Saccharomyces cerevisiae S288C: one gene and its partner. Each later gene encodes a partner of the first gene's protein in a complex. Each region holds a gene or a part of one and is shown in the gene's direction. Other genes may lie near its edges.

Region 1 (5,447 bases):
TCCTTGACATTGTCTAAAATCTCATTAAAACGGTCTCCCCATTCAGGCCAATTCGCCTTATATTGACCTTTCTCATCGAGGTTCTGTTGTTTGATATTTTCAATAGAAGTTGGGTCTCTTTTGAAAATTCTGCTAATATACCTTTTCGTTCTATTATGGAATTCGGAATCACCGATCCATTGACTGGAGAAAAGATCACCCATAACAGTCACCACCTGAGGCTTCAGTCTCTGCTGCATCATATCATAGATGTGACCAAGATAGTAGTCATTACCGTATGTATCTAATCGGGACACATATGGCGTCTTTGGCCAGATGCCTTTAATCTGAGGATCACCGAAGGCCAAAATATGAATATCCTCATCGTTACCTGCAGAGGCATGGCTACCATGCCATTGCTCTCGAACATCACTGAAGTAATTCTTCACTTTGTCCACAAAAGTCAAATCTTTCTGTAGTGGTGCGTTCTTGTTAGAGCAGTTCCATGAACACTGTTCTGGATGGAAAGATGGATAAGTATAGATGTAAATATTAGCGACGATAGTGAGGAAGGTGGCAAAATATGCAAACTTCTTGACCGCACACCTGAGCATCTTGGGATTCTTGGTACAATGCTGCTGCTGTTGTTTTCAGTTCTTCAATCGCGACCGGATAAATCGCTTGTAATAACTTAGTTTGCAATTTTTCTTAAAACTTCAGAAATCAAGTCACAATTGTAATGAATAATTTGGAAAACACAAGTCACCAAAAATAGCTCAATATTTGATAGTGACTAGGGGAGGAATCTAGCAAAAAAAACGTTCTTTATCTATATGAATATTTAGAAATTAAGATATGTAATTACTTTAAGATGTTCCGAGTAAGCAGAGGCGTTTCGCTCTATTTAAGCAACTGTTCCATTTTCATCTGCGCCAAATGATAAACAGTGTTGATTTCTCTTTCCAGGGCATTAATAAACAGAGTATAAATTTTAAATGCGTAGTATCTATTTGACATGACGAAATTGTAGAAATTCAACAGGTCCACAGTCAAAAACTGCTGCGAACCACGCATATAAATACCGATACATGTTACTACCAACGTCAAATACAGGAATCTTTTGACCAGAGTAATGAAGTTCATCAACAACTTGTAAAAGACATAAAATGTGAAGAAAATAAACAATAGTTGGAAAACTAACGGGTGTGATTGGCTGAACTTAGTAATAGTAGGAATCAACCATTGGATGACGTCAATGGCAGACTTTAGGCATTGTGTTACTACGGATAGTTCGTATTGCGGTTGAGTAGCGTCCATTTTTGGGTTGCTCACTTTGCCCTTTGGTGACTGTTACGAAATTTTTTTCAGTAGCTTTTTCTCTTCCAGTAATTATATTTTCTCTACAAAAAATATACTCACTACAAAAGCCAGCAAATAAATGATAATATTCGTACGACACTAGAGAATATGATATTGTATTAAGTAAATATATATATATAGAGAAGGAGAGAGAAAGACAAGAACAGGGCGGCTATTAAGCGTCGTCTTCGTCATTCATAGAGATAGCTGTCTGTGGCTTTTCTTCTTCTGCAACCTCAGGCTTTGCTTCCGGCTCTTCCGCAAATGAGTTGGATAGGAACTCTTTCATTAGGCCAGCCGAGGTTTCAAAATACTCAGCTTGAGCCTTGGCCAATTCCTTCAAATCTTCACTGAAGTTAGCGTGAGAAATAACCTCCTGCAAGCACACAGTAGCGTCTTCAGTGACTTGAGCAAACTGGTCTTCCAAAGTCTCCATTTGGACTCTCAAGGAAGCTTCCTTTTCTGGCTTCTTGTTGTTTGCCAAGTTAGTTCTTGCCACGTCATATCTTAATCTCATGGAATGGACATCCTTGCGGCACTTATCGGCCTTACCGATCTCAAAAGAGAGCCTTTCCCTCAAATTTTTATTGAATTTGGTTTGAATCAAGGTATCTTGTTGAATTCTAGCTTGAGCAATCTTAGCCTGCACATCACTGAATTGCAAGAGTGCCGAAGCCAAGGGTTGTTCCTCGGTGGGGAACATCTTGTTCAAACATTCACTGGAGTTCAAAGCCACTTTACTGAGGGCGTAGTTCAACGTCTTGGGTTCTTTGATGGGGCCTGGAGCAACTAAGATGTTTTGTGCCTCAGACGCAGATGTAGCATGAGTCAACTCTGTCAACTTGGAAGCCACGCTTCTTGAAAACTCGTTGACGGATTCGTTGATGTATTTAGGGTAATCGTACGATCCGTTTTCGTAGATAGCAGTTACACCCAAGAAGTGGTTGTAAATCAGTTTGATGGTGTCAACCTTATCTTCCAGCTCTGTGTACTCTCTTGGCAATTGGGAGATGTCCGTCACCTGGCCCAAACGTTCCTGGACCATTCTTTGGGTGGATTGCGCCAAACTGGGCAATTCCTGGGTTTTTTCGGAAACACTTGTGGATATTTCCTGTAATTTCTTGCTCAAAGAGCTGGCGAAGGCATTAAACGACATTGATGACTATGATTTGTTGCTTATTCCACTCCTCTGCCTACAAATCATATAGGTTATAGGTGAAGAAGGTTGCAATTTTCTTGTTTTTGACATCCCGATTAATCCACCGCTCGCTTCTCACGGTAATAAGGGAAAATGTCTGCCAGTATGAAGCAAACAACATTAAACTGAGAACATTGGTGAGTCAAGACCATAACTGGAAGACGTGGTATCAAGACGCCTTCACGGTAGTATGTGGAAGATTATGCGTTCATGGAAATGTGGGGGAATGCGCTGGGCACATCGCCAGCGACCCTCACACGAGCTGCTGTCGCAACTGTCGTTCGACCAGCATTACAAGATTAGGTCGAACATTGAGCTGCTGATACAGGACTACGCTAGTAAACCAATTGCGCCCCTAAACTACGAGTATTTCCTGCAATACAGGCCGCCGCTGACCAAGAAGGAGGAGTACATGCTGACGATCAAGACAATCAACCTGTTGCTTTCATTGACGTGTAAACGGCTTAATGCCATTCAGAGGCTACCGTATAATGCGGTAATCAACCCTCATATTGAGAGAACCAACTCTTTGTATTTGAAAAGCTTGCAAACGTTGCTATCAATCGCATACCCGTACGAGTTGCACAATCCTCCCAAGATACAGGCCAAGTTCACAGAACTGCTGGACGACCACGAGGACGCCATTGTGGTATTGGCAAAAGGTCTTCAGGAAATCCAATCGTGTTACCCAAAGTTTCAAATTTCGCAGTTCTTGAACTTCCACCTGAAGGAGAGAATCACGATGAAGCTGCTTGTGACGCACTATTTGTCGTTGATGGCACAGAACAAAGGTGACACGAACAAAAGGATGATTGGAATCTTGCACCGGGACCTCCCCATAGCACAATTGATCAAGCACGTTTCTGATTATGTCAATGATATATGCTTTGTGAAGTTCAACACTCAGCGGACCCCGGTCCTAATTCACCCGCCATCACAAGACATCACATTCACGTGCATTCCGCCCATTCTGGAGTATATTATGACAGAGGTATTCAAGAACGCTTTTGAAGCTCAGATAGCTCTTGGAAAGGAACATATGCCCATAGAGATCAATCTTTTAAAGCCAGACGATGACGAGCTGTACTTACGGATACGGGACCATGGTGGTGGGATCACGCCCGAGGTAGAGGCCCTCATGTTCAACTACTCTTACTCTACACATACCCAACAATCAGCTGACTCTGAGTCTACAGATCTGCCCGGCGAGCAAATCAACAACGTCTCCGGCATGGGCTTTGGTCTACCAATGTGCAAGACGTACCTAGAACTGTTTGGGGGCAAGATTGACGTTCAAAGTTTACTTGGCTGGGGCACGGACGTGTACATCAAGCTCAAAGGCCCTTCTAAGACTGCACTACTCTCCAAAAAGTAACAGTGCTAAATTTCCTCGTAAAGCGGTACCATTAAGGGCTCTTTCTACTTCTTTAAATTATCTACATATGTATAAATATTCTTATTATATAAGGCGAAAAAATGAACGAGAAAAAAAAGTGTTGAAAGTATGCATTCAACTGGCTCTTCAACAAGAGACTCAATCAATTAAGCAATCGAAGATGGCTATTGATGCTCAAAAGCTTGTGGTGGTCATCGTGATCGTGGTCGTGCCTTTGCTCTTCAAGTTCATTATCGGACCGAAGACCAAGCCTGTGCTGGATCCCAAAAGGAATGACTTCCAATCATTTCCGCTGGTTGAAAAAACCATCTTAACGCATAATACTTCGATGTACAAGTTCGGGCTACCTCATGCTGACGACGTACTCGGTTTACCAATTGGTCAGCATATCGTAATTAAGGCCAATATCAATGGTAAGGATATTACCAGATCGTATACGCCCACATCGTTGGATGGAGATACAAAGGGAAACTTTGAATTACTAGTGAAGTCTTACCCCACAGGTAACGTTTCTAAGATGATTGGAGAGTTGAAGATAGGTGACTCGATCCAGATCAAGGGCCCTCGTGGGAACTATCATTATGAGAGAAACTGCCGTTCCCATCTAGGGATGATTGCTGGTGGTACTGGTATTGCGCCCATGTATCAGATCATGAAAGCTATTGCCATGGACCCTCACGACACTACCAAGGTCTCTCTAGTCTTTGGGAACGTCCATGAGGAGGATATTCTGTTGAAGAAGGAACTGGAAGCGTTGGTGGCCATGAAGCCTTCCCAATTTAAGATAGTTTACTACTTAGACTCTCCTGACCGTGAAGACTGGACTGGTGGTGTAGGATACATTACCAAGGATGTCATCAAGGAACACTTGCCCGCTGCTACAATGGACAACGTTCAAATTTTGATCTGTGGTCCTCCAGCCATGGTTGCCTCAGTTAGAAGAAGTACCGTGGACTTGGGGTTCAGACGTTCCAAACCGCTTTCCAAGATGGAAGACCAGGTGTTTGTGTTTTAAGATAAGGAACTGTAACAGAGTGCCATATATATATATATAGATTGGAACATATATAATATATACGCTATTTAGTTTAGTCACCTAAACGCACCGTTTCCATATTTCGTGCTGGACGATTTTCGACTCGATAATACGTATAAGATCGGTACTAATAGTAACAAAAGTAAAGGTAATACTTGCTTCAACTGTACAAAGGAGCATAGAACGTGGGGCAATTTACAAGCGATGTCGACGTCAGTCCCAGTCAAGAAGGCATTAAGTGCTCTTTTACGCGATCCAGGAAACAGTCATTGTGCCGACTGTAAGGCGCAACTACATCCACGCTGGGCTTCCTGGTCACTTGGTGTTTTCATTTGCATTAAATGTGCTGGTATACATAGATCATTGGGAACGCACATTTCGAAAGTGAAATCTGTTGATCTGGATACATGGAAGGAAGAACATTTGGTGAAACTGATACAGTTCAAAAACAATTTAAGAGCTAACTCATACTACGAAGC
Region 2 (4,467 bases), 100 kb from region 1:
AAAGTGACTCTTGCTCTTTTCTCATTTCCAAGGCCAGACTTCTTATGACGTTCTCACTACCCTGAGAAATGAACCACGCAGTCAGATCATCCAAGAGAACTTTGTCGTAGACGTAGTAAACATCATGGAAACGAAATGTTTCATGAATGTCCAAAAGCGCCCTTATGACTAGTCTCTTACCACCTCGTAGAATATAATATACGAATGTCCACGCTTTCATTGCTAGGTCATAGTTTCTATGTAGTGGATAACTCAGGGCTCTCCTGATACCTGTAATGATTGCAATCTTGATGAGAGAGCTGTCTTTATTAACCTTTGATATTTCTTTCATACCGTCTTGCAGTTCGTTCACCTGTTTTAATTGTTGGTCTAAGAATGATATTTGAGGGCACAATTTTCCCATGGTCCAAGCACTCTCTGTGGTATGAGTACCTTCGTTTTCGATCTGTTCAAACACATAACTGAAAAGAACGCTGAGTATAGTGACATAAAGTGGTTTTATATCTTCCACGAGATAAGACTTCTTGGGTAAATTGTCCTGCATCTGTTTTTGTTCCTCGTCAGTAAACTCAATTGGCATGACCAGATTTGGGTTCGTACTGTCTTTGTACCATTGCAGGTATTGCTTTACGATCGAAGGTGTAAACTTCAGTAGTTCTTTAATGCCGTTAATTTCCAAGTCTTCCTCGTTACCGTATTTATGTGTCATATACTCGGAAACATAGTACTCAGGATCAAACTTCAAATTTTCTTTTCTTAACCTTTCAATAACTCTATCGTTCGCGTCAGTGTGTTCAGGATCGTCTAATTCATTGATATCGTTCCCGTTGCTTGTCGACACTGATATAACTGTATCATATAAGTTATCAAACCCATATTTTGTCTTCAATATTCCATTATTGGTGCTGGAATCCATCTTTTGCTCTATCTCCCAATTAAACCCCTCTCCCATTTGACCAATAGTCTTCACATCATCTTTAATATTATTCGACACGCCATCAGTTTCGACCTCTTGAATAAGGGGCTTTTGGGTTTTTTTCGCATCAGTATTTTCTGTTAATGCATCGGCACCTGCAAGATCGCCTTGCCTAGCCAACAACTTTGTCGGTAGGTCCAAATCTTCGAAATATTCATTTTTATTCAGTTTGGCTACTTTTACATTGATGCATTCATCTTTGGAATCGTATTGAGCGGTAGACCTCTCATCATCGATTAATTCGTGAGGAAATCTTAATCTTAAATAGTAAGGGGATAAGTGAAAAATGATCATATTTTCTTGGATGATTATCTCTAAACCCACTGCACTGAACCTAATATTACTTATGAATATTTTGAGAAATATAAATTCCTCATCCTGTGTTATAGAGAATCTTGGTGTTATCATTATAGTTCAGAAGTGATGGTAGATTATAGCAAGTATTCTTCTTTTGTGAATCTTAATATTACTCTGAGCACTTGACACTGAATATTTAGTATTCAAAATTTTTCAGCTGATTTTTGCGATGCGATGGTGATGAAAAAAAAAACATGTAGTAGTAATAACAATCAAATAAAATAAGTGAAATCTCATGAACTATCTGCTGCGAATTTTAAGGATAATCGGATAGCTTGAAGCATTTCTTTTTCGTAATGAGTGGCTCTACAGAATCTAAAAAACAACCAAGAAGAAGATTTATTGGGAGAAAATCTGGCAACAGTAATAATGACAAATTAACTACAGTGGCTGAAAATGGCAACGAAATAATCCACAAGCAAAAGAGTAGAATCGCCCTAGGTAGGAGTGTTAATCATGTGCCAGAAGATATATTGAATGACAAAGAGTTGAATGAAGCCATCAAATTATTGCCCTCTAACTACAACTTTGAAATCCACAAAACTGTGTGGAATATCAGGAAATATAATGCTAAAAGAATAGCCCTACAGATGCCTGAAGGTTTGCTGATTTACTCATTGATTATAAGTGACATTTTGGAACAGTTCTGTGGTGTTGAAACTCTAGTAATGGGGGATGTGTCTTATGGTGCATGCTGTATTGATGATTTTACTGCTAGGGCATTGGATTGCGATTTTATTGTGCATTACGCTCATTCGTGTTTAGTTCCTATTGACGTTACAAAGATTAAAGTACTATATGTCTTTGTTACTATAAATATTCAAGAAGATCATATTATCAAAACGCTGCAGAAGAATTTTCCTAAGGGATCTAGAATCGCTACATTTGGTACCATTCAGTTTAATCCTGCGGTACACAGCGTCAGAGATAAACTGCTTAACGATGAAGAACACATGCTGTATATTATTCCACCACAAATCAAGCCTCTATCGAGGGGTGAAGTATTGGGGTGTACTTCTGAAAGATTAGATAAAGAACAATACGATGCCATGGTATTCATCGGTGATGGTAGATTTCATTTGGAGTCTGCAATGATACATAATCCGGAAATTCCTGCATTCAAGTATGACCCATACAACAGAAAGTTCACTAGAGAAGGATACGATCAAAAGCAACTCGTGGAAGTTAGAGCAGAGGCCATTGAAGTCGCTCGGAAGGGTAAAGTTTTTGGTCTGATCTTAGGTGCATTAGGTAGACAAGGTAATTTAAACACTGTAAAAAACTTGGAAAAAAACCTGATCGCAGCAGGTAAAACCGTGGTGAAAATTATTCTAAGTGAAGTTTTTCCCCAAAAGCTCGCAATGTTCGATCAAATTGATGTTTTTGTTCAGGTCGCATGTCCTAGACTGTCCATCGATTGGGGTTATGCCTTCAATAAACCACTATTAACACCATATGAGGCTAGTGTCTTACTAAAGAAAGATGTCATGTTCAGCGAAAAATATTATCCAATGGATTATTACGAAGCTAAAGGATACGGGCGTGGGGAAACTCCGAAACATGCGATTGAATAGTTTAAATAGTTTTTGTTGTCACTTGTCTTCCTGTTACATATGTATAAATAGTTAGTATCATATTCTTCGGAGCATCTTTTCTATTGTTTAAACGTTTTTGACGGCTTGCAGGCGAAACTAAATTGTCTAAAATTCAAAACAATGCCTTCTAACTTGATATCACTGCTGGTCAAGCCTATTTTTATTCTGGTTTCTCAGGCAAACCCAAATGATATTGTCAAATTTTTCACTGAGTTTGCCAAGCATATTTCCATGGACTTTTGTATGGAAACCGTGATGAGAAATCCGGGATTTCTCATCGAGGAAAGAAGTGACTCGAGCCTCTTAAGGCTTAGATTAAACTTTTTTCTTTTTATCGCTGCGTATAAGCAATACACCTAAAACAGAACCAGTTAAAGTAAACCCGATCAACAGTAAGAAGATGGGCAGGAAAATTGCAACATTGCTAGAAATGGGGAAGAGTAAACTCACAACTGGATTGGAGTTCTCGATCTCGAAGATAGGCAGGAGCGACCATATGACATAATAAGTAAAAAGAAGGCAAATAATTACAAAACGGTTCATGAAACTAAACAGACGTTTACTATGCCCAACCGGTGACTATTCACATTTTTGAGCTAGTATTGCATTTAGAGTACACGCAGTCATCAACAGTTTCTTTGTATCTCTTTCAAATATATTCCTTTACACGGGAATGCTAGCGGAAATGAATGTAAGGCGGAAAAGCTCTCCGTGCGAAACTATTCTTTTAGACACTGAATAAAGTTGTAGCCTCATTCCATAATCTGGGTCAGATTTTATGAAAATGTAGTTATTTCTGTTAGTTGCTGGGTTCTACGATATTCTGCTGCGTGGTTTAGCTTTCATACTTGATTTTTACTCCTTCATCACTCCATATAGGTTGGATATGGCTGAATCTGTTTTTATCGAGGCACCCTTATGAACATAAACAACAGTATCCCGTCTAAGAAATACTTTCGCTACAATGACTTCGAAAATTAGGAGTTGACTGTGGCTTCAGGTCATCACATTGAGTTCAGTATATTCCATCCAAACGTCGAGGCAGGTTGCCGTTGAAGATGTGCTGGCCCGCTTACAGGCCCATGTTTAACAGCAATTGCACCACATGCATGTCACATATGCATGTCACATATTAGCCCTAATTGTCTAGTGGAATTTTCGCAGTAAGAATCAAATGTGTTTAAAAGTCATAGCATTGATGAACAGCTTACTCGTATCTCTCTATTTGATTTGGACAATAGCTTGAGCAAACGTTGGCAAAACAGCTGCTCTGAATAATGGTCAGCAATTAAATTTGCTTTTTTTGCGTACGGCTGTTCAGATATACTATTGTTGGAATAATAATCAATCGTCTATTGACTAATGTTTTCATACGTATTATTACTGCCTTCATGAAATAAGTAACCCTAAATTTTTATCACAACATTCTAATGTTCTTCATTTTCTGTAAAGAAAGAGCAGGACTGTGGCAGAATAGTACCATTTTCATCAGCAAATGTGAGGCTATGCCATTATTTGCGAATGCTATGAACCTACTGC

What was found. The genes of interacting proteins can lie anywhere in the genome.
Region 2: CBR1 (region 1) and DPH1 share a complex: the UniProt entries of both Saccharomyces cerevisiae proteins name them as parts of the 2-(3-amino-3-carboxypropyl)histidine synthase complex.

Annotation. Positions count from the first base shown.
Region 1 is NC_001141.2:273,572-279,018, reverse strand, and holds CBR1 (cytochrome-b5 reductase), read left to right. Parts: upstream 1-4,092; coding exon 4,093-4,947; downstream 4,948-5,447. Other genes in the region: TED1 (Ted1p), read right to left, coding at 1-593; APQ12 (Apq12p), read right to left, coding at 880-1,296; GVP36 (Gvp36p), read right to left, coding at 1,514-2,494; protein kinase PKP1, read left to right, coding at 2,727-3,911; GTPase-activating protein AGE2, read left to right, coding at 5,173-5,447. UniProt on the Saccharomyces cerevisiae protein: NADH-dependent reductase for KTI11/DPH3 and cytochrome b5. Required for the first step of diphthamide biosynthesis, a post-translational modification of histidine which occurs in elongation factor 2.
Region 2 is NC_001141.2:170,122-174,588, forward strand, and holds DPH1 (2-(3-amino-3-carboxypropyl)histidine synthase), read left to right. Parts: upstream 1-1,629; coding exon 1,630-2,907; downstream 2,908-4,467. Other genes in the region: Hsp90 cochaperone SHQ1, read right to left, coding at 1-1,384; YIL102C-A (uncharacterized protein), read right to left, coding at 3,244-3,471; YIL102C (uncharacterized protein), read right to left, coding at 4,461-4,467. UniProt on the Saccharomyces cerevisiae protein: Catalyzes the first step of diphthamide biosynthesis, a post-translational modification of histidine which occurs in elongation factor 2.